Linked DNA regions of Mus musculus: regions 1, 2, 4, 5, 6 and 7 are each reported to be linked to region 3. Evidence: microRNA targets listed by miRTarBase, many of them from high-throughput screens and not tested one by one. Region 3 holds a microRNA gene; each other region holds the end of a gene's coding sequence. Distances are between the middles of the regions.

Region 1 (3,095 bases), not on the chromosome of region 3:
GGTACTGCCTACCGCCGGCATCCTCACTGGTGGTTGTGAGGAGAGCAGGAGGCGGCTTCATTGGTGTTTAGCCAGCCTGCTCTGTTCAATTTAGACAGGGATGCTGACTTCAGCTGCCTCAATACTCTGAAAATGAGCAAATGCTGAAGTATTTTCCAAGGTAGCTGGACCACTTTGCCCGCTTTCTGGCAGTCTGGATGTTGGATGCACACATGCGTTGGGGGCGGTGTGTGTGTGTGTGGCTGAATTGGGGAGGCTTTAGTGGGAGGTGCGTGTAGGAATGCTTCAGTAACTTTCCTTGGCTGTGATACAGGAGAGCAATGGCCAGCAGAATCAACTGGCAGTGGAGCCCCCCTCAGACCACGGGGTCTATCCTTTCCAGTTCAGCAAATAATGAGGTAAGAACTTTATGGTGGGGAATGCTGCTATGCTATGCTGAACTGGAAGATGGTGCTTGCAGCTTTGTTCTGCCAATAGCCAGACAGGTTAATTAATAGTCGTGTCCTCTTCGTATCGTCTCCAGCTAATGCCTCCTTTAGGATTCTTTCCCCCCATCTTTGTTAAACAGAAAGGAACTCTTGGAGATGCTCACAGACTCCAGAAGGTTTAGCAAGTTACAAGCCTAGCTGTAGCCTGCTGAGCACTAACACCTGGCTGTCATTCCCTCACAGGTCCAGACCTGGGGAGAGAAGCCTATGCAGTCCTCCTTGGGCTCCTTCCTGTGGCTGATGGAACCTGAGGAATCACGTTGGTTTTTTTTTTTGAATGTGCTACATTCAAGATCAAAAAGACTTTTTTTTCTTTTGCAAAAGAAGTTTCTTGCTTTGTATTTAATTGCAGCGAACCTTTCTCCTACCCCAAAGACACCAGTTGAGGTGCTTCTCATCTTCGAGAGGTTTGGGTATGTTGGGCTTTTAAAATGGTTTAAGAACAATCGCAGTGCTGTGAAGTCAGTGAAGGGGCGCTGCTTGCCAGGTTCAGTTAGGGACTATTTTCAATGTGTGTTTTAGATATGCAGGCTTAAAACTTTTGTTTTGCAAAGCTCTCAACACACACTTTGCACACACCCACCCACCTCCCTCCCACGCACTGTTTAAGGCAGGGTCTCACAGTGCAGTCCTGGCTGGCTGACAATGTAGACCAGGCTGGCTTTGAACTCAGCGATCCTTCCCACTCTGTCTGAGTGCACCGCCATGCCTAGCTAGTTGTTTTTTTTTTTTTGGTTTTTTTTTTTTCAAGACAGGGTTTCTCTGTGTAGCCCTGGCTGTCCTGGCGCTCACTTTGTAGACCAAGCTAGCCTCGAACTTAGAAATCCACCTGCCTCTGCCTCCCAAGTGCTGGGATTAAAGGCGTGCGCCACCACCGCCCGGCTAGTTGTTTTTTAAAACTTCTCCACAATGGTCTTTTTTTCTTTTCCATTTAGCTTAGCCTGCCTACTTTGCCTTTTTACAATTTTTAATTTTATGAATTTGATTTAAATTTCATGTGGAATTGGGGGAAGGGAGAGCAACGCACAGGTAGAGAAGTGTGGCAGTAGAGGTTGCTTTCCCTCTGCCCTCCTGGCCTAGGAGGGGTTAGACTTTGACTTCAGGAAGCAGACATGTGACAACCATGCAGCCTTTGGAAACCACCTTCAACCAACTCTGGTGGCAAGTGCCACTGAGAAGTGGCATCCAGCTTCAGCATCCTGGATACCTGCTCTGCCTCCTGGAGGGTCTTGGGTCTTCATCCTGCCCCAGGTCTCACAGCCCCTGCCCCTGCTGAGCAAGTTCTGCCTTCCACTTTACCAGGAGGTTGTTTTGTCCCCGAGAGGCTGCTGTCTTGTCCATCATCATCCTTGATTACCAAGCCTGGGGAGTATCATGTGTGCTGGTCCTGAACACCTGACAGAACCTGGCCCCACTCCTCCACCCCTTATTCCCTGGCAGTTATTTGGTGTAGACTAAACCCCAGTCCAGCCTTGGACATGGAGCCTGTTAGTTCATGTACTTGGCCAGCAGTGACATCTGTGACTTTGCCTCCTGGAGGATCTTTTCTGCCTGGGTTCTCACAGCCTCTCATCCCAGCTGCACATGGCTGTACTCAAGTGGTACTTGGCTGAATCACTTAATTCAGCAGGAGCCATCTTATTTAGCAGGGCTCACCCTTGGTTGTATGTACATGCCAAGTGCACACAGTTTGAAGGGATGAAAGCAAGAACTGTTGTGTATACTGTGCATGCTTGAGAATGGACTGAGCTTTCTCTATGCAGCATACCCAGCCCAGCCCTGGTGTTTGGACCCCTTCCCCAGGGAACCAGACCACCAGAAATAATTTTCCTTCTTGTGGAAGGACGACGGGGTGCTAGGATAGAAAAAGGCAAGACTCACAGCTCCCTGGCCACTCAAAGGTCAGGAGGGACTTGTAAACATGCCTGCCGTTAACTATTCCCTTCTGCAAGACTTTCAGCACAAAATGTGACTTGTTACATCACATCCCTTCACGTCATAAGTACACCTCCAGTAGACAAAGCAATGGAGATGGGGAAGTGTGTCCAGAGGTCAGTGTGAAAGAGGAAGGGCAGGGCATGGTGATGGTGAGAAACTGGCTCAGCAGCTGTGCACACTACAGAATTGGGAATCCTGGCCTGACTGTGCTGCTGTGCGTTCTAGACTGAGGAAGGGGCTGAGGACAATGGACAGCATAAAGTACAAAATGACCAGTTTTCTCATTGGTGCTTCCAACATCAGGAAGGTCATACCCAGTTATCGACCTCTAGCCCTCTAGCACTCAGTGACAGACTCAGAGCTCTGTCCTGTGGAAACCCTGCTGACAGTCTTGCTGCCACTGCTGCTCCTTCACTGCCTATTAAAAATTGTTCCTTTTTCTGTAGTTCTAAAGCAATTTGAATAACTGACAGTTTTAAAATTTGAAATTACCTTTTTAGGTTTTTCTTTTGAGTATACTGGTTAGGGTTCTAGTGTTTCTGGTTGAACAGGTGTGAGCATGGGAAATGAGGGCAACCTGTAATTTTGTTTTTATAGTGGTTAATGGCACTCACTGTGTAATTTCTGCTTAGTGATTTCCATCCACTCTTTTCCTCATTAGCTCATTAC
Region 2 (3,095 bases), 41 Mb from region 3:
CCTGATGACTCCTGAGGCCCTGGGCAAGCTCAAGGAGGAGATGAAAAGTTGCGGGGTCAGTAACTTTGAGCAGTACACGGGAGATGACTGCTGGGTGAACTTGAGCTACACGGTGGTAGCCTTCACCAAGCAGACTATGGGCTTCCTGGAGGAGGCATTGAAACTGTACTTCCCTGAGCTCCACATGGTGCTCCTGGAGAGCCTGGTAGAAATCATCCTGGTGGCTGTGCAGCATGTGGACTACAGCCTGCGCTGTGAGCAGGACCCCGAGAAGAAGGCCTTCATCAGGCAGAACGCATCCTTTCTCTATGAAACTGTCCTCCCGGTGGTGGAGAGGAGGTTTGAGGAAGGTGTGGGGAAGCCCGCCAAGCAGCTGCAGGACCTCCGGAACGCATCCCGGCTCCTGCGGGTGAATCCCGAGAGCACGACTTCTGTGGTCTGAGGCTCTGCTCTGTGTCTTTGTGTGTGTACGTGTACACGTGCTACAGATGCGTCATTTGTATTTACATTACACAATGTCAGCACATTCCTCAGAGACACAGACAGCATATAAAAGTGCCCTCTGAAAAATGCAGTCAAAAGGAGAAAGATAATGTGTTAAGCATCACATACAACCCCCCAATACTGGGACTGTCAAGAGCACATACCATGTCTTGCTCTGTTTTTTAATAATTCTTTAAGTAGAGTGTATGGTCACACCAGAACATTTCAGGCTACTCTTTAACTTGAAAGACACTTCTCACGTTAGCACATCTAGGAGCAGTGCACTTCCATGCTGCCTAGAAAAATATTAGGTCCACAGGGTTTAAGTATGTTGTAAAACATTCCAAGTCAACAAAATGGCTTCGTAATGGTCAGTGCTGTGTGACACACCTGTGTCCTGTACTGAGACAGATCAACATGAAAAGAAATGAGTTGGGAAAACTGGTTTGGGATAAATTTCAATATGTGGGCCTCAGGTCTGTCAGTATTTGTAGCATGTGGAAGGAAGCCTTTATAAAACTTTGCAGGCATCCAAAAGTCACTGAAAAGTAGCATGTTCCATGGCTAATTGGATGCATCTTTTTGGGGGAGGTGGGAGAATCACAAGGACTACGTTGAATTTTTAACATATTCCAGAACTGAATGGATTTGCTGCTGCAGCGTGTTTTGCCATGTTCAGGAAGTAAGTCTTGCTGAAAAGCCACACCAAGGATCCTAGCAGTAGGCGGGTAAGTGACTCCAGCCCCTGCAGACACTTCACCACCAGCCTGGGTTTGGAGGCACTGAGACTTCTGGCAAATGCAGAACTCCCTGTCTGAGAAGAGTTCAGGCTGTGTGTAGGTTAGGAGTTTTAAAAAAAAGAATGCAATGTCACTCCTTAAGAATGCCAGAGATTTGGTTTTGGTCATTTTGTTTTCTTGAGATAAGTTTCAGCCCAGACTGGTTTTGGGCTGGTGCTGTAACCAAGGATGACCTTGAATTTCTAATCCTGACTCCACATCCCAAGGGCTGGGATTACAGGAATGTGCCATAATGCTATTTATGCTGTGTTGGAGAAAAAAAACCCTGGCTTTCTCATACTAGGCAAGCACCCTACCCACTGCTACACCTGCTGCCCTGATGGTTTTTGAAACTTAGTAACTGAGTAGAGATGCACATACCTCAAGCACAGGGAAGGGACCTTCTGTGACTCTTCAAATGCTGTGCTGCATTTTAAAAAACAAGAGCCTGGCATGCTGGTGCACACTTTTAATCAGAGCACTGGGAGGCAGGAGCAAGCGGATCTCTGAGTTCAAGGCCAGCCTGATCAACAAGGTGAATTTCAGGACAGCCAGGGATCTGTAGAGACCCTGCCTTAAAAACAACTTTTAAGAGAATTCCAGATTGTAATACTTACTTCAGGTTGTTGAGTAGGGATAGGTGGGTAGGTGGAGCCCCTAAGCTTTTATTTTTTTTTCTTTTTCTTTTTTTGGTTTTTTTTTTGTTTTTTTGTTTTGTTTTTTGTTTTTTCAAGGGTTTCTCTGTATAGCCTTGGCTGTACTGAAACTCACTCTGTAGACCAGGCTATCCTTGAACTCAGAAATCCTCCTGCCTCTGCCTCTGCCTCCCAAGTGCTGGGATCAAAGGCATGCGCCACCATGCCCGGCTTGCCCCTGATTTCTAAAGTGAGCTCTGCTCTGATCACTTAATGTCCTGTTAGAATGTGGGTGCTGAAACCCATTTTCCCACTAGCTTGTAGCTGTGGGTTTTGTCAACGATGCCATGTTTTTATGTCCATTGGGTCTAAAGGCTATTTCTTGTCTCTTGAATAAAAGAGGTAGTAGTAAGCCATAAAATGATGTAAAACCCTAAATGGCTTCTGCAGTGATTCAGGGTTGTTAAGACTCCTCAGCTTCATTAACTCATCAGGCCAGCAGTTTCTCTGTCTTTTTCTAGCTCTCCATGCATAGAAAGATCGCAGAGGTCACCACTGCAGCCTTCCACTTTCCCATGTTAGGGTTTGTTGATTTAAATCAACAATGAAGACCAAGCGGGTCTTGAACTCACAGAGGTCATCCTGCCTCTGCCTCCTGAGTGCTGGGATTAAATTATGCTCCACTATGCCTTGCTAAGTTAGAGTTTTCTACATAACCATAACTGGATGTCCCAGCCAAACAAATGTACTCATTTCTCTTAAGCTCACTGGACTTGGATTTGATGAAATTGTGTGGCTGCGATGCCGATTTGGTGCCACTTGGAATTTAATAGATAAACCGTGCATAAGGCCTCGAGGTGTAAGAAGGCTAACATGTTTCCCCACATAATAAATGGCTGTATCTTTATGGAAATGGAAGTAGAGAACTTTATTCTGCTAAGAACGGGCTAATGTGTTCCTCTGTGTAGCTGAGGGAATGCAGTCTGGGAAATCTGCAGGAAGCTTGAAGGATTGTCTAGCAGTGGTAGTTCCACACATGCTGACGTGCTGTGACATTAACCACCTTTTGTTTGCTTTAAAACTAACTGCATAGACCAGGAATCACAGACTGGGTTAATTTCAGTTAGAGAATTCAGCCTCTGATGAGAGCCTCCTGTCATGAAATGCTCAAAGTCATTGCTGTGACTTTGGTATTACC
Region 3 (3,000 bases):
ATAAGCCGCAGATCTAAGAGGGGCAACTGTAGCAAGCAAGCCACCCTAACATTTGGGCCCATCTCTGCAGGCTGCAGACTAGAGGGGGTGAGGCAGGAAGAGGAGACGCAACATGATTGCCTTGAGTCCTCCACTGGGTACCGATGGACAGCCAGAAACGAGAGGTTGGGATGAGGAAAAGACCACCCTGTGTGTAGGCAGAAGGCTCTCTGTGGGGAGGGGACAGGCAGGGCCACCTCTCACTTTTGCTCTTTGAGCCCTCCCAATGTGACAGTGATTAAAGCAGGAAAACTTGAGCCTTGCAGGTGGCTCAGTGGGTGGGGATGTTTGCCATCAAGACCGAAGACCTGGGGTTGATCCCCAAAGCCACACAGCAAACAGACTCCAGTGTTAGCATTGGCACTACGCTCAATACATGGTGCATACAACCCCCCCCCATCATCCCATGCACACACTCGAACACATGTGTATACACACACACACACACACACACACACACACACACACACACACACACACACACACACACACACACGAGGGCCAGCAAGGTGGCTCTGGGGTCAGAGACTCACCACATGAACCTCTTACCTAGTACTTGAGTTCTGACCTCAGGTCATGACCTTGCTTCTCAGGTCTGATAAGCAAGAAGCAAGCCATTTACTGATTTATCTCCCTAACCCCCAAGAAAAATTGTAAGACAGAATATGCAAGCCCGAGGAACTGGATTTGCCCCTGCAACCTGTGTAAAGGAGAGAGAAAACGGACTCCTCTAGGTTGTTCTCTGATCTCCACCTGCACCACAGCACATGCACTCTCCCCACACATAAGTCAATATAACAAAAGACAATCCTCCTGCCTCTGCCTCCCCAGTGCTGCTCAAACAGGACAGTTCTATGCTCAGAGCACTTCTGAGTAGAAGCAGAGAAACGGGACACACTAATTACTCTGTGGGACACTGAGGGTCAGATTGAGAACCTGTGGTTCCAGCACGAGAGAGGAAGTGTCAGGCAAATCTCTGAGTTCAAGGCTACCCTGGTCTACAGATCAAGTTCCAGGGCAGTGAGGGCTATACAGAGAGACATTGTCTCAAAAAAAGTTTATGTTGTAAAAATGTATGTATAAATACATATATGTATGCTTTTTCTTTCCCCTTTTCCTGCCTAAAATCCAGATCCATCTAACTGCACAGCTCCTAATTTGTGGAGGTGCCTTCCCAATGGGCCAGTGTCTCTTCTGCTACCAGCTGCCTATATTCCTGGCACCCCACAGGTGTGGGGCTATCACCTGAGCCTTGGGGGCCAGCTGGGAGTTAGAATTGTGGCCCTAACCACATCTGAGCCCTCCTTCCACCCTCTGCCCACTTACATGGCGCTGGCTGTGTAGCTGGCATCGCCACCTTCCACGTACTGCACCTGGCTGGAATACACGTGTGGGACAGGCACCTGAGGGAGTTGCTGTACCTGAAGCAGGAGGAAAAGCAGGGTCATGGGTCAGGGCTGACCACCACCCACGGGTTCACTGATGCCCACATACATCCCCATCTAGAAGGTTGCACATCATGGTTTTCTGAACAACATGGGCCAGAGGTGGGAGGCTTAGGTAGGAGGCTTAGGTGGGGCCAGGTCTCAGTTGTGGCTGGAAAACAGGAGGTGCTGGGATTCTCTGCTTTGGCAAAGAGGTTTCTAAGGCTTATGAGCAAAGGAGGGGATACCAGACAGAATTCTGCAATGGGCTTGAGAGGTGGGTTTGCAATCTAAAAACCGGGCCTGGGGGTTTTCTGGAAACCAAAAAGGTTTCCCAAGCAGATTAGGGGTGGAGCCTGAAGAGGGATCAGTTGATAGAACAACTAGAAACAACTGACAACACCTTAGGGGCAGGTACTGGATAGCCTACCTCCACCCCCAACCCTGGTTTGCAGGAGCCGTGTCTGGGACCCAGTCCCTGAGGCAGAACAAGAATGACTGGCAGCACTTTGGGGGACAGGGTAAAGACATCTCACCCCACCCGCCTTGGGTTGCAGGGGCGAAGCCTGGGAGCCTGGACTTGAAGGCGAGGCAAAGCGGCTTGCTGGGCTGAATGCCCTTCCCCTGCCCGCCCTCCGCCCCCTGCCGTGCCTCCGCTGTCCGCCGCCACCTACTTTGAGGGCGGTGCCGAACACTAGCACCTGGGGCATTCTGTGGATCCTGACCCTCAGGTCGGGGCTGGCTCGGGCCGAGAGCCCCCGCTGTGGCTCGAAGACCACCCTCTGCTGCGGCAGGAGCAGGTGTGGGGGCAGCATGCCCACCAGCTCCACCCACTGCTCCACACCCGGCTCGTAATGGAGCGGCTGCTGCTCGCTGCCTAGCTGCAAGACCTCGCCGCAGCACACTGGCCCAGGCCCGGGAGGCCGGGGCGGCGGCTCCGGCGGCGGCGTGGGCCGGGTTTCTTGCTGCTCTGCCTTCCTAGCGGGAAACTGACTGCCTGAGCTCTGGAGGACAAACAGAGACACTGGGGTATCACCCGGCTGTGAACTCATGGCCACCCGAATGAAGATTCCCCACTTGGGATCTCCTTAGAGAAGAGAGGAACGAACTGGGCACTATCAGAAAGAAGCGGAATTCGAATCCAGCCCTCTTTCAACAAGACCTGTGTCCTGAGTGGTCAGGTGCTGGGATGGGGACGGATTCAGGATGAAGTCTGAAGCCGAGGGCTAGAGTGAAACCTCACTTCTGCAGGGCTTCAAACCTCAATTGCCCCCACTGTCTGCCCTTTAGGGTCCCCAGCTGGCTCCATTCCTCCCTCTGGATTAGGTGCCTGTACCTCCAGCCACAGCCCAGGACTAGTCTGATTGCCCCGACATAGACAGATAGGACACGCACCTCTTGAGCAACGTGAACTGGCTGCAGTCCCTGCACAGTCAGCTGCTGCACCGGGCCAGCTTTGGTCTGTGGAGTGGCCTGGACTACTGACCTCTGGCAAAGAAGGGCAAGGAGAGGCAAGTTCGAGTATGGTAACCATGGC
Region 4 (3,095 bases), not on the chromosome of region 3:
AGAACCATGAAGAAGCAAAAACACTCCCAAAAGCAGTCCTTTGACTTACACACATACACACATGCACACAATAAATCAGTATAGTATAGTAAAACAGTATCTGTTGGTAATGTTTTGTAAGTTTATGATTTGACACAAATGACCATTTTAAAGGAAGCATGTCTCTTGTCTGAACATTCATATATATACTCTAGATTTGTTTTTTTGCCTTTTGCCCTAAACTAACGTTGAATTGGGTTAATAAAACCTGTCTGTCTTTCCCTATGGAAATAAATTCTAACAAACTCAAAAATGATGCAATTTTAATAATAAAGAGCCTAATACGGTGTTTTAGGTGATTTGCTAAGAAAATTATCTGGCCTAGAGTTTATTGTTTTTCCTTCTCTTCTTTTTTGTTTGTTTTGACAGAAAAAGAAGCTACCTAGTTCATTTCCAGCAGGAATGGATGTGGACAAATTCTTGCTCTCATTGCATTATGATGAGTGAACGAACACCCAGACACAGAGACCAGTAGCTATTTAAAACTAGTGTCCTTCAGATGGCGAGTAGGAAACGGGCCAGAGACAGACTGCGAACATGACCTGCACTTTGACTGTACTGAGGTTTCACTTTATATCTAAGTCATGCTGTTTCTGAAGCAGCTTCCTAGTTTGTAAATAGACTCTCATGGAATATTTGTATTCTAAAAGAACATACGCAGAAATGTAAGTAAACCCAATCTGCAAAACTGTACAGCTTTGACACTGTATATTGTACATGTGTATATTGTGTAAAAATAGAGCTTAAATCAACCTAATATTCCCACACTGTCTTGATTGACTTCGCCCGAGGCTTATTCTTCTGGAGTACTTTCTCATCTCCTTTGGAGGAAGATGATAATTATTCTTACAAATTACCTTCAGCCAATATTAGATAAGCCACTAAGTAAAAAATAATAATGATAACCACCTCAACTGGTTAGTAAAATATCTAATCAGTAAACAACAGTTGGATGATGATTTCCCCCTAGAGTCAATATTTTATCACCCTTCATAAATTTCAGTAAAAACTATATTTCTGAAGTTTTATACTTTATTCTGATCATCTATTCTCTTTGTTTTAAAGAGATTTTTATAAACCATTTATTAAGTGTTCTGATATTTCACTTACAACTTTTTGAAATCTTTTACAGAACATTAAGTGGTTAGACTATTGAGCCATAAAAATTTGAGTTATGTAGTAGTCGAGATTTCTTGATTATATGTAAACTTTCCCTAAGCACTGGGGATACAAAGAATTGCACTAATTCATAGACTTTTTCACATACTAGTGACCAATGCACATTTAATTTAAATCTTGTATGTAAAAGCTTATATGGAGGATTGTCTTCTGGTGTCTTTGAAAGTCATATCCATCATAAGATGTAAAAATGCAAATCATAGTTATATTGTAATTTAGTTTACCCTGAAATGGGATGTGTAAATAACTGTGTTCATACATAACCTATAGAACCTTGTGTTCTTTAAAGTGTTATAAATAGTTACTCTCAAAAGGTCCTTAGGGGAGTGAGAGGTGCCTTCTCTGTGTTGGACTGACTCATAAACAACAGTCAAGTTGAAAAGCTGGCCTAAACTTTAAAGGAATGACAGAAATTATCATTAATACTTGACCGATTGTGCCTAGATATTGAAGTGTTTTCTTAAGTTCTTACTGTTTAAATATCAGCATATTAGGATTTTTTTTTCTACGGGTGTATATTTTATTAAAAAGTCACTTTCTTCAACCATTTTTTGTACTGGGCCTTTAAGAAATAAATCCATCCTACTGTAACAACAACAAAAACGTCTTCAAGATGTAAATTATGTCTTTTTAATTGCTAGATTTTACTGTACAAATTTATATTTTGAGAAATGTTCTATGACTGAGCTGTTCTACTCCTAAGGAGCTAACTAAGCATACAGTTACTGTTTGCATAACTCAGTCTGGGTCTGTCCTACAGTTAGGTTTGAATAAATATATTTTCATTAACTTTACCAGTTTGGATTTATATTTAGAAATTGGTTAAATTTCTTTGTAGCTTAGTTAATTCTCTGTGTTTTTCAGGAATTCATATAATGCAGGAAATTACAGATTTTCTCCTGTAACTCATATCTATGTGCTGCATAATGAGAATTCATATATAAACTAACTCATGCTCTTTTCTATAGCTCTATGTGTGTTTTTAGTCAGTGTCTTTCCTGTAGGCCAGGCTGGCTTTGAACTCATTACATAGTCCAGTGACTTTGAAGTCCTGGTCCTCCTCATCTACCTCCTCTAAGTGCCAATATTGCAGGCATGCACCATACACAGAGCTTCAGGATTCTTGTCATTTTGATTTGTTTCTTGAGATGGTAGCTATGTAGTTCTTGTTGACCTGTGTAGACAAGACTAACGTCAAACTCACAGAGATCCTCCTGCCTCTGCCTCCCAAGTGCTAGGGGTTAAAGGTGTATATTACCCCTCCTGGCCTTCAAGATTCTTAGTGAACTAGCTTGAAACCACTAGATAGTCCAAAGACAGTTAGTGCACACACACACACAAATATCAGGTATTTTTATATTTCTCTGTCATTTTCCTTTAGGAAAAGGGTTCTTCTGCTGGCTGGCCAGCAAGTCCCAGCTATTCTCCTATGTTTGTTTGCCATATCTGAAGCAAGGGTAAACACAGCCATTCCTGGCTTTTACATGGGTCCCTGAAATCCAAATTCAGATCTTCATCTGCTGTCTTCATGTTGTGGGTTTGGTTGTTTGGGGGGTTTTGTTTTTTCGCTGTTTTGGGGTTTTTTTTGGTTTGGTTTGGTTTTTGGTGGTAGTGCTGGGGTTCTTCAGGATAGGGTTTCTATGTGTAGCCCTGGATGTCCTAAAACAGAAATTCACCAGCTTCAGCCTCCCCAGTACTGGGCATAAAAGTATGTGCTACCACACGTGGCTACCACAGTTTTTTAAATAAACTTTCCTTTCCCATGCTCACATGCTCCTCTTACTGTGAGTCACAGTCTTTTACAATTCTAATGTCCAAAAACTTCTGACAACCAATTCTTTGTTATCCAACTTAACATTAAAGCTCATTTCATGGCA
Region 5 (3,095 bases), not on the chromosome of region 3:
AGATAGACCAGGCTCAAACTCAGATCTAAATGCCTCTGTTTCCCAAGTGCTGAGGCTAAAGATAGCCACCACCAAACTATCTCTCTAGGTCCTCCTTTGGTTTTTTGAGGCAAATTTTTGCCGTGAAACTCAGACTGGCCTTGAGTTGAAGATTCTCCTTCCCCAACCTTGAAAATGCTGAGATTATAGGCATGCACTGCCATTTCAGCTATCTGGCTTTGTTTTCTGTTCCCATACAGATACTGTACATTTTGTCTCACTTCTGATTGTTGTATATTTGTTGTACTGAACATTAAGTATCATTTTTATTTTCTCAGATAGTGCTGACTCAAGACTTTCTAAGAGAAGCCTCAGTGCAGATGAATTTGAAATACTACAAAACCCAGTAAAAGAATCAAATATCATGTTCCGGACCTACAAAAAGATGTACCTTGAGAAGAGAAGCAGAAGCCTCGGGAGTAGTCCAGTTAAATAGTCCCAGGAAGTCATGGTTTTTGTTTTTACCAAGAGAACACCCCTAGTCTTTTCTTTTCAGGCTCCCTTGCAGAAAATACCTCAGGACAGTCACATCGGGATTTCTCAGCCAAGGAGTTCCTGTATAGCTTTTCACTGATACTATGTGACTGAAATGTTGGATTAGCTGCTGGTGAGCAGGCAAAAAGAAAGATTGCATTTGTCTGGGAATTACAAAGTGTATGCTAATGATGCAGTGATCTGCATTGTTGAACTGTGTTTACTGGGTTTTTTGTTTTGTTTTCTTTTTTTTTTTTTTTTTTTGAGACAGGGTTTCTCTGTAGCCCTTGCTGTCCTGGAACTCACTCTGTAGTCCAAGCTGGCCTTGAACTCAGAGATCCACCTGCCTCTGCCTCCCGAGTGCTGGGATTAAAGGCCTGCACCACCACGCCTGGTTCACGTTTACTGTTTTAAGTCTTGCTGGCACAGTGGTGCATACCTGTGACCCTAACATTTGACTCGTGGACACAAGAGGATCAAGAATTCAGGGTCATTCTCAACAGAATAGTGAGTCTGGTGAAGTCAGCTTAGGCTACATGGGAGCCTCTCTCTAAAAGCAAAACAACAGCAACCAAAAAAGGGGAATGAGGGTGGCTTATACAAACCTTACTTTGAAATGCTGTCATCCTGAGGTAACTTGGTTGTTTGACTGGGGCTGTAAATAGATTCTTGTTTCTAAGCACATTAGCAAAATTTATTTTTCAGAAAGTGCCCATTGTGAATGTCAAAGTATATTCCAAGTATTTTGTACCTCATTGTAAAGGTTTTTTCAGAAGTCTTGTTTTATACTTTTGTTAAAGTGAATGGAGTTTTTGGAAGATGTCTTAACATTACTTTTCATACTTGAAATAAACATTTATTTTTTAAAGAACTACAGTTTAAGTCTTCATGGTTCTGTAAGGGCCTGTGATTCCTGAAAAATGATACCCTAGATTCAAACTATGCAACAATAAAGAGCATTTATTCTGCAGAGAACCAGCATGGAAGGGTCTACCACACATCGGGATGAAAGACGATAAAAGACAGATATGGACCTTGCAGGATCAATTTAAAGCCTGTTAGGGTAGTAGTGGTGACGGTTATCTTTCTTCCCCTTGATTGGTTGGATATATCTCCAGGGATATGGTTGCCTTTGTGATTGGTTTAGGCTCTGGAAGATTTGGGGGACTTTTGCTGATTAACTATCAGCTCAGGCTAGGTAGTGGGGCAGCTTCTGACTACTCCTCGATAGGCTATGCGTGAGGGGTGGGTTTTTCTGGAATTGACTTGTTTTGGACTTTTCCAGTTCTGGGAAACAGAAACTTAGGCCTAGTCTCCCAAACTGCCAGTTTGCAGCCTGTCATGGAGGCAGCCTAACTCAGGCTAACTTAGTCCTCTCAGTTCCATTTCTCTATGGTTTTGTATCCTCACTAATAGACGCATGTGGATAAGTCAGATATGATGGCACAACCCCTGGGAGACTAAGGCAGCCTGTGCTACACTGGGAACAGAATGTTTGCTTCTAGGAGAGCATTGGTTATTTTTAGAAAACTTTTGCCTCTTGCAGTAGTGGAAATGTAGGACCCAAAGAGCCTTATGTCTGGGATGTCCCACTCACAGAAACACAGAGACAGAGATTGATGCAACAAGCAAGAGGTTTTGTAAGACTCCAGGAGCCTTAGCTTACTGGGGACCCCCTGAGTGAACTGCGTGGAACTATGATCTATGCAAAAAGCAAGAGGAATTTATTTTACCAGTGCACTGGGGTTGCCCCAGACTCGAAGGAGAGGCGGCAACCCCTAGAACCCCTTCGGTGAGTTTTTATATGGTTTCTAGGGGCAGAATAGAGCATCAGCAACTAGGCACAATATGATTGGCAGAACAGTGCACCCTTTAAACTGATTGGTCTTTAGGGAATGAGGTGACAAGGACTTCCGATGTCTGAAAGTGAGCAATAGTCCTATGGAATGTGTCCCCAAACACAGGTTGGTTCCCACCCTGTGATCTGAGAAATGTTAATTAGCCTCTTTGGAGGGGCAAGTGTTTCATGACCTTCTCAAAGTTCCTAAGCTGACCTTTTCATTACTATCTTATACGTCAAAAAGAAAATAATTTTTTCACCATTATATGCTCATTTCTACCTCTTGTTTTCTTTTTCCTCCCCGCCTCCCTTTCTTAAGGGTTTCACTCAGACCTTGCTGACTTGGAACTAACTATATAGCCCAACTTGGCTTTAACTCAGTGCTATGTTCCTCCCCTCTCCCCCCAACACACACACCATTGTTTGTTTGCCTTAAAAAGATATATTGTGTTTGTGTGTGTGTGTGTGTGTACCCACCCATATGATGGCCTGCAGAGTTCAGAGCACAGCTTTAGGAAGATGGTTCCCTCCTTCTATCATGTAGATTCTGGGGAGTTGAACTCAGGTTTTCAGACATGGCTTCAAGTGCTGTTACCCACTGAGTCATGGCTCTTATTTATGTGATTTTTATTTGGTTGGGTTTTTGTTTTTTTGTTTGTTTTGTTTTTTGGGTTTTTGTTTTTGTTTTGTTTTTGGAGAAAAGGTCACTCTGTGTAATTCATTCAGTCCTTCAGCATCCTGA
Region 6 (3,095 bases), not on the chromosome of region 3:
GACAATAGGCAAGCCTGTGGGACCTTTTATTTTTTGAGACAGGGTCTCTCTAGTCTCTGTTCTGGGACTTATATGTAGACCAGAATGGCCTAGAACTCATACAGATCTGCCTGCTTTCCATTTGGAGATTAAAGATTTGGGCCATCACACTTGGCTACATTTTGTTGAAAAAATGATTGATGTGGGAGGGCCCAGCCCACTGTGGGTGGTGTCACCCCCTGGGCAGGTGGTTCTGAGGTATGCAAGAAAGCAGGCTGAGAAAGCCATAAGGAGCAAGTCTTCCTCTGTGGTCTCTGCTTCAGTTCCAGCCTCCAGGTTCCTGCTTGAATTCCTGCCCTGACTTTACTTCGTGATGGACTACAAGGTGTACAACGAAACAAACTCTTTCCCCCAGGCTGCTTTTGGTCTTAGTGTCTGCCACAGCAATAGAAACCTAACTAAAACACATCATTACATATCAAGTAAAATGTTTTTTAATTAAGAATCAACCATCACATAATACAAAGAAAAAGGAAATGGTCAAAGCACATACTGTGATATTGTACAACTTTGAGCAGAAGCACCACCTTGGTAGCATTAATATTTCAAAAAGCTCAAAGCACACAAACGGGTCTTGGGGCCTGACATCATCCCTAGTCCTGAAGTAGAAGCAAAAACACAGCTTTCAAAAGGAATTAGAAATACTTTATTTCGTACCCAAATTTCAGTGACCATGGCCCTAGAAGCATAGATTTAGGTACCCCAATTTCATGGCTCCATGGAGTTTTGTAGAACAGAACAAAAAGTTATAAAGTAAGGCGTTCTTCAGACACACTAGAGGAAGGGTTAAACGTTACAGCACAGTGATAATCTCAGCTCTGGCTTCAGATATATGACAGCATTCACAGTACTTGGACTGGTGGAGAATAGTTTTATCAAGTGAATAGTTCTATAGTGTTGGTTAGTTTGGTTTGGTTTGGTTTGGTTTGGTTTGGTTTGGTTTAAATCTGTTGTCAGGATGTTTGGGGATCTCTGCAAACACCAAGGCTGGCAGCCTAATGATCCATTTGAGGCCAAAAGGAAATCCAGTTCAACACAACTTAGCCTATGCTAGGTCAAACTTCTAGAGTCTGACCCCAGCAGTTTACTTTAGCTGTATTTAAGCACAGCACAAATTTCCGGGGGAAGTTTTTTGATGATAATTAACTCGGTCACTTATGTACAATAATGCTTAAGACAGGTTGACATTGACACAGTTTACAAAGTACTTATGGCCTCTTCCGTAAAGACGGGATCTGTTAGCTTGGCATGGTGATGCACAACTTCAATCCCAGCACTTGGGAGGCAGAGGCAGGTAGATTCCTGAGTTTGAGGCCAGACCGGTCTACAGAGTGAGTTCCAGGACATCTGGGGCTACACCAAGAAAACAAACCAACCAAACAAACAAAACAAGATAAGTTTGGCAGAGGTAGAGGTCTATTGACTCACAAACAGTGCTGGAGATACAGGTCTAAGAAGAAAAAATCTGGGATAAACACATATAAAAATCGGTGGCAGTCAAGAGTGGCCTGGCCCTACAGGTAGCACAGAGGTCCCCTAGGCTTTTCTAATATACAAGTGACAGTGACATCTCCTATAAGGATGAGATTTATTGAGCAACAGTATTCAAGAAAAGGGCCTATTGGCAGGCAAAAGGCCTATGGAGGAAGAGTCTGGGATAAACAAAGACAATAGTCTGTTCAAGTGTGTGCTAGGTCTACAAATAGCACAGAACACCAGGATGTTAACTATATCCATTCCCAGACATCTGGGTGGAAAACAGGTCTACTTCTCTGTGAGCACAAGAACCTTGTGCCCTCTACAGCATGTTAGTTCTGACCCAGAGGGAGGCAAGACATTGCTTAGGTTGGAACAGCCTAAGCTATGCCTCTCTACATCATTAAAATGTTAAGCCAGGCAGTGATGGTGTATGCCTTTAATCCCAGCACTCAGGAGGTAGAGGCAGGTGGATCTCTGTGAGTTCCAGGTCAGCTTAGCCTACAAAGGGAGATCCAGGATAGCCAAGGCTACATAGAGAAATCCTATCTTATTAAAAACCAAAAATAAAATAAAATAATAATAAATTAATCAATTAACTTATGTAGACATAGCTTCTGAGAAATTCCCATTCACACCTCCATCTGCTCACTGTGGGTTGAGAGGACTAAAGACTAAGGCTAGTTCTGAGATGCCTGGGGGATGGAGAGCCTAAAAACACAGACACTATTCCCAGTGTCTGATGTGGCAAAGTCCACAGTTGCTCAGGCTGGCCTGCCAGGGGCTTTGTTATGGGTTTTTATGGATAACAAAGCACCTTGTCTGGGCCACATCCTGATGTGGGCTCAAAGGACAACATTTTTGGGTCCTCCCATCCTTGCCTTCTAGGAAAACATACTGAGCACCATGAACCCAAACTGACTTTAGCTTACGAGTTCACAGCACAAAACCTCCTAACTCTGAGGCCAGCCAAGGCAGGCTTCAAGGAGAGAAGCCCTCTGGCTGCATACAGAGAGAAACCCTCTGGTCTTCACAAGAGAGAAGGGCACATCATATATCTGGGGGTCCACGGGGTATGCAGTGGGATGAATGTCAGCTCCAAATTCAGATGGGCTATTTGGAATGTTTCAGTCCTGTATCAAAGGACACTTGACTCTAGCTCGAGGGTGAAGCAAACACAATTTTTAGCAGCTAAGTTGCCACAGTTTGCAAATACATTCCTGCAAGGTCAGTCTCCAGTTTAGAAACAATAGTGTTCATTGCTTCCTCGACTTCCTTAAATCCAGTGATCTTCAGGAATGCCATCTGCTTACTTTCCGGAGCTTCATAGCATAGTGGAGGCTGGAAAATAAAACACAAAGTGAACACACACACACACAACCAAGGGTCGGTCTATTTATATCTCTTGAATGTTGAGGAGGAAAGTTGCAGTGGTTCTGTGATTCTGCTTCTCAGGATAGGAGAGGCTCTTTGTGTCCTCAAGTAATACCCAGTGGTCAGGAGACCCAGGCTGGGACAGGGCTGATCAAGACTGTCACTAACCTATTATCCATCTGTTACTCAGGTGGCAGAAAGCAGCG
Region 7 (3,095 bases), not on the chromosome of region 3:
CCAAGCGAAGGAGAGCATGATCCGTCGCCTGGAGGTGGAGGCCGAGAACCACTACTGGCTCAGCATGCCCTACATGACAGCAGAGCAGGAGTGCGGCCACGCCGCGGAGCGACGGGCCCAGGCTTTTGAAGCCATCAAGGCAGCGGCCACTTCCAAGTTCCCTAAGCATAGATACATTGCAGACCAGCTAGACCATCTCAACATCTCGAAGAAATGGTCCTAACCCTTCAAGATTATGGATACCGGACTGCTCTATCCTTACTTGGTCCTGGAGCTGAGAAAATGTAATTTATGTACCAGTGTGACCCCTTCGACCAGTATCTTATTAAAGCAAACATGATTGATTAATAGTTGTCTCATACGGAATACTTGGGACCCTACCTAGGCGTTTGTTTCACACCTGTAATCCCAACATTAAGAGGTGGAGGCAGGAAAATCTTTGCTGATGTAGTTAGTAAGACCTAGACTCAGAAGGCCAAAAGAGACTGTTTGAGGCTCCATATGTGCATAATCGGTCTATTTTCAGGGTTGTTTTTTATTTTTTCTGGCCTAAAGCTTGCAGCAGCCCTCCCTGTGCCTAGCTACTGGAATTACAGGCATGGTTCCCTGCCCTTCTGTAAAATGTGGGGTTTTTTTTTTTTTTGTTTGTCTCACTATATAGCCATAGAACTTGCTGTATAGGCTAGGCTGGCCTTGACCTCCGAGATCTACTGGCCTCTGCCTCCCAAGTGCTGTGACTAAAGGCAAGTGCCACCATACCTTGCACCTTTTAGATTTAAATGCTGTAAAACTACAAACTGATGAGTCTTAAGGCTGAGGTACTTGGCTAGAGCTTTGTTGTACAAGGGGTGTTTTCTTACTTTCTGTCTAGGATAGCCATTCTCAACCTGTTGGGCATGACCCCTTGTGGTGGTTGCAGAACCCTTTCATGAGGCTGAGTATCAGAGATTTGTATTATGATAACAGCAAAATTACAGTTGTGAAGTAACAATGAAAATAATGTTATGGTTGGAGTCACCACAACATGAGGAACTGTATTAAAGAGTGTAAGGGAGGTTGAGAACCACTGCTCTAGAATAGAGCCTGCCTTTGATTTCACAGCATTCTGTAAGTGGAAGTAGGATCTGAAGTGTTAGGTCAACTTCCATGCAAATTTGAGGCCAGCCTGAGATAGATGAGACCATTTCCCAAAAGAAGAGTGTTTTCTTTTAGAATTTGGATTCTGTGAGTGGACGTGTGAAGTAAAGATGTTTACTAGAACTGTTAACAGGAAAATTTCTGTTTGTTTGGTTTTTTGAGCTCGTCTATATTGCCCACCTTAGCCTGGAACTCCTAAATGGATACAAACAGTGCAATTTTTTTTTAAAGTTTGTTTAAAAACACCGTTTTTGGTTTTTTGTTTTTTTTTTTAATGTTGTTGGTTTGTTTTTCAAGACAGGTTTTCTCTGTGTGGCCCTAGATGTTGTCAGACTCACTCTGTAGACCAGGCTGGCCTCAAACTCATAGAGAACTGCCTTCCTCTTGCCTCTTAAGTGCTGGAATAAAGGTGTGTACCACCACCACCTGTGCACACAACTTTTTTGAGTAGGTCTGTGTAGGTTGTTGAACTTATGGACTGAATTGATCCTCCTGACCGAGTCTCCCGAGTTTCTGGGTCTACAGATGCAGAGCAACTTGGGATTTTTTTATTATTAATATATTTTTTTTGATTTTTCAAGACAGGGTTTCTCTGTATAGTATTATTTTTTTAATACAGATCTTACTGTATAGTCTTGGCCTCAAATTTAGATGGGCACCGATCTCTGTCTCCCTAGTGCTATATACTACCATACCCAATCCTTTTTAATCTTTTGAGTTGGTGATTTCATAAAGTTACCAAGAGAAAAAAGTACAAGTCCATTGTAACTATAACCAAGTAACATTTTTCCTCTAACCATATCAAAACCTAGAAATTGCTATACTCTGTAGAGCTTTGCATATGCACCCATGTTTATGTGTACAAGTCTACTTAGTTGTCATATAACCATGGTTCCATTGCTATAGCATCCTTCATTCTCTTTGTAGAAACCTGACTTCCCCACTATTGTTCATCTCTGTTTTTGGGAAGAAGGATCTGTAAGTAAAATAATTTATATTGGCTTTTTAAAAATGCATAATGTAATTTATTTCCTTTGCCATCCATTCTGGTGGTTACATTTTTCAACGATTTGAACTTCCTTTTTTTAAATGTGTAGCCCAGGCTGGCCTTGAAGTCAGTGATCCTCCTGCCTCTTCCCCTCAATTGCTGGGATTGTAAGTATGCACCACCATGCCTAGCAAACTTGCTTGTTGACTGCATTAGTGTATCATGGGCCTTTTTGTGAATCTATACAGATCCCATATTTCTATTACATGCACAATAATATAGATATGCCTGTTAACATCTATTGGTAATGGACATTTATTTTTTTTTCTCCAATAAACCTTGCTGTCAAGCATGTCAGTATACATGCATTCTTAATGACTACAGTGTGTGGAACAGTCTTAAAAGTGGTAATGAATCCTTTGTACACTGCCACTGTCAAAATGGTGTCCATTAATACTGTACCACTTTATGCTCAGCAGTAACACAGAAGATACTAGTGAATTTGTTTCTTGCTGTACTGTTTATGGTAGCAAAATTAAACAGTGAAAGAAGAATAAAGTATGATCCAGAGACTGCTGACCTACAAATAGTCACTGTCCTCCAGTGCTGGGATTATAGGAGTTTTTTCAAACTGTACTTCCAGCACACACAAAACATCTCCAAAACTTTGAAAGGGCTACATGATACAGGCATCACTTTCATTTGAAAAGGTTGAAGCCAGGCGGTGAGGGTGCACACTTAATCCCAGCACTTGGGAGGGAGAAGCAGACAGATCCCTGAGTTCAAGGCCAGCCTGGTTTACAGAGTGAGTTCCAGGACAGGCAGGGCTAGCTGTCTGCTTGCTTACCATGTGCAAAGGCCCAGGCTGGAGGCCTAGAACAGGAAAAAGACTAAACAAAAAAGCCAAGAAAAGGCTGCTGGTAGCTAGTTTACTCTATGTCCAGGCTCACTAAGAAATGATGAATCTTCC

Evidence for each region. Region 3 holds the annotated microRNA mmu-miR-709 (GGAGGCAGAGGCAGGAGGA, at 848-866, opposite strand). A microRNA usually pairs through its seed, bases 2 to 8, with sites in the 3' UTR of a target mRNA and lowers its output. Matches are read on the target gene's strand: a 7mer-m8 pairs with bases 2 to 8, a 7mer-A1 pairs with bases 2 to 7 and ends in A, and an 8mer does both.
Region 1: miRTarBase lists Rbms2 as a target of mmu-miR-709. Seed matches in the 3' UTR shown: 7mer-m8 at 1,318-1,324, 7mer-m8 at 1,324-1,330 and 7mer-m8 at 1,701-1,707.
Region 2: miRTarBase lists Exoc8 as a target of mmu-miR-709. Seed matches in the 3' UTR shown: 7mer-m8 at 2,071-2,077, 7mer-m8 at 2,077-2,083, 7mer-m8 at 2,083-2,089, 7mer-m8 at 2,540-2,546 and 7mer-m8 at 2,546-2,552.
Region 4: the mRNA of Npat is a reported target of mmu-miR-709. Seed matches in the 3' UTR shown: 7mer-m8 at 2,433-2,439 and 7mer-m8 at 2,439-2,445.
Region 5: miRTarBase lists Resf1 as a target of mmu-miR-709. Seed matches in the 3' UTR shown: 7mer-m8 at 857-863 and 7mer-m8 at 863-869.
Region 6: miRTarBase lists Tnfrsf26 as a target of mmu-miR-709. Seed matches in the 3' UTR shown: 7mer-m8 at 1,978-1,984, 7mer-m8 at 1,327-1,333 and 7mer-m8 at 1,321-1,327.
Region 7: miRTarBase lists Mrpl57 as a target of mmu-miR-709. Seed matches in the 3' UTR shown: 7mer-m8 at 718-724.

What each region holds. Positions count from the first base shown.
Region 1 is chr10:128,130,944-128,134,038 of GRCm38, reverse strand. Rbms2 (RNA binding motif, single stranded interacting protein 2) reads left to right here. Exons shown (of 13, transcript NM_019711.2): 12 at 314-398; 13 at 672-3,095. The coding sequence ends at 394. Among named protein-coding and RNA genes, the nearest start is that of Gm51821, 6.9 kb to the right of the region's middle.
Region 2 is chr8:124,892,823-124,895,917 of GRCm38, reverse strand. It overlaps Exoc8 (exocyst complex component 8), which reads left to right. Exons shown (of 1, transcript NM_198103.2): 1 at 1-3,095. The coding sequence ends at 442. Among named protein-coding and RNA genes, the nearest start is that of Exoc8, 3.3 kb to the left of the region's middle.
Region 3 is chr8:84,084,033-84,087,032 of GRCm38, reverse strand. It overlaps Mir709 (microRNA 709), which reads right to left and starts at 934; the gene lies at 847-934. Rfx1 (regulatory factor X, 1 (influences HLA class II expression)) reads right to left here. Exons shown (of 21, transcript NM_009055.4): 7 at 2,859-2,951; 8 at 1,366-1,460.
Region 4 is chr9:53,572,163-53,575,257 of GRCm38, forward strand. It overlaps Npat (nuclear protein in the AT region), which reads left to right. Exons shown (of 18, transcript NM_001081152.1): 18 at 409-3,095. The coding sequence ends at 486. Among named protein-coding and RNA genes, the nearest start is that of Acat1, 37 kb to the right of the region's middle.
Region 5 is chr6:149,334,275-149,337,369 of GRCm38, forward strand. Resf1 (retroelement silencing factor 1) reads left to right here. Exons shown (of 5, transcript NM_026054.3): 5 at 318-1,389. The coding sequence ends at 475. Among named protein-coding and RNA genes, the nearest start is that of Gm38930, 17 kb to the right of the region's middle.
Region 6 is chr7:143,607,205-143,610,299 of GRCm38, forward strand. It overlaps Tnfrsf26 (tumor necrosis factor receptor superfamily, member 26), which reads right to left. Exons shown (of 8, transcript NM_175649.5): 8 at 481-2,856. The coding sequence ends at 2,840. Among named protein-coding and RNA genes, the nearest start is that of Gm15579, 8.6 kb to the left of the region's middle.
Region 7 is chr14:57,826,603-57,829,697 of GRCm38, forward strand. Mrpl57 (mitochondrial ribosomal protein L57) reads left to right here. Exons shown (of 2, transcript NM_026401.2): 2 at 1-2,143. The coding sequence ends at 223. Among named protein-coding and RNA genes, the nearest start is that of Mrpl57, 1.9 kb to the left of the region's middle.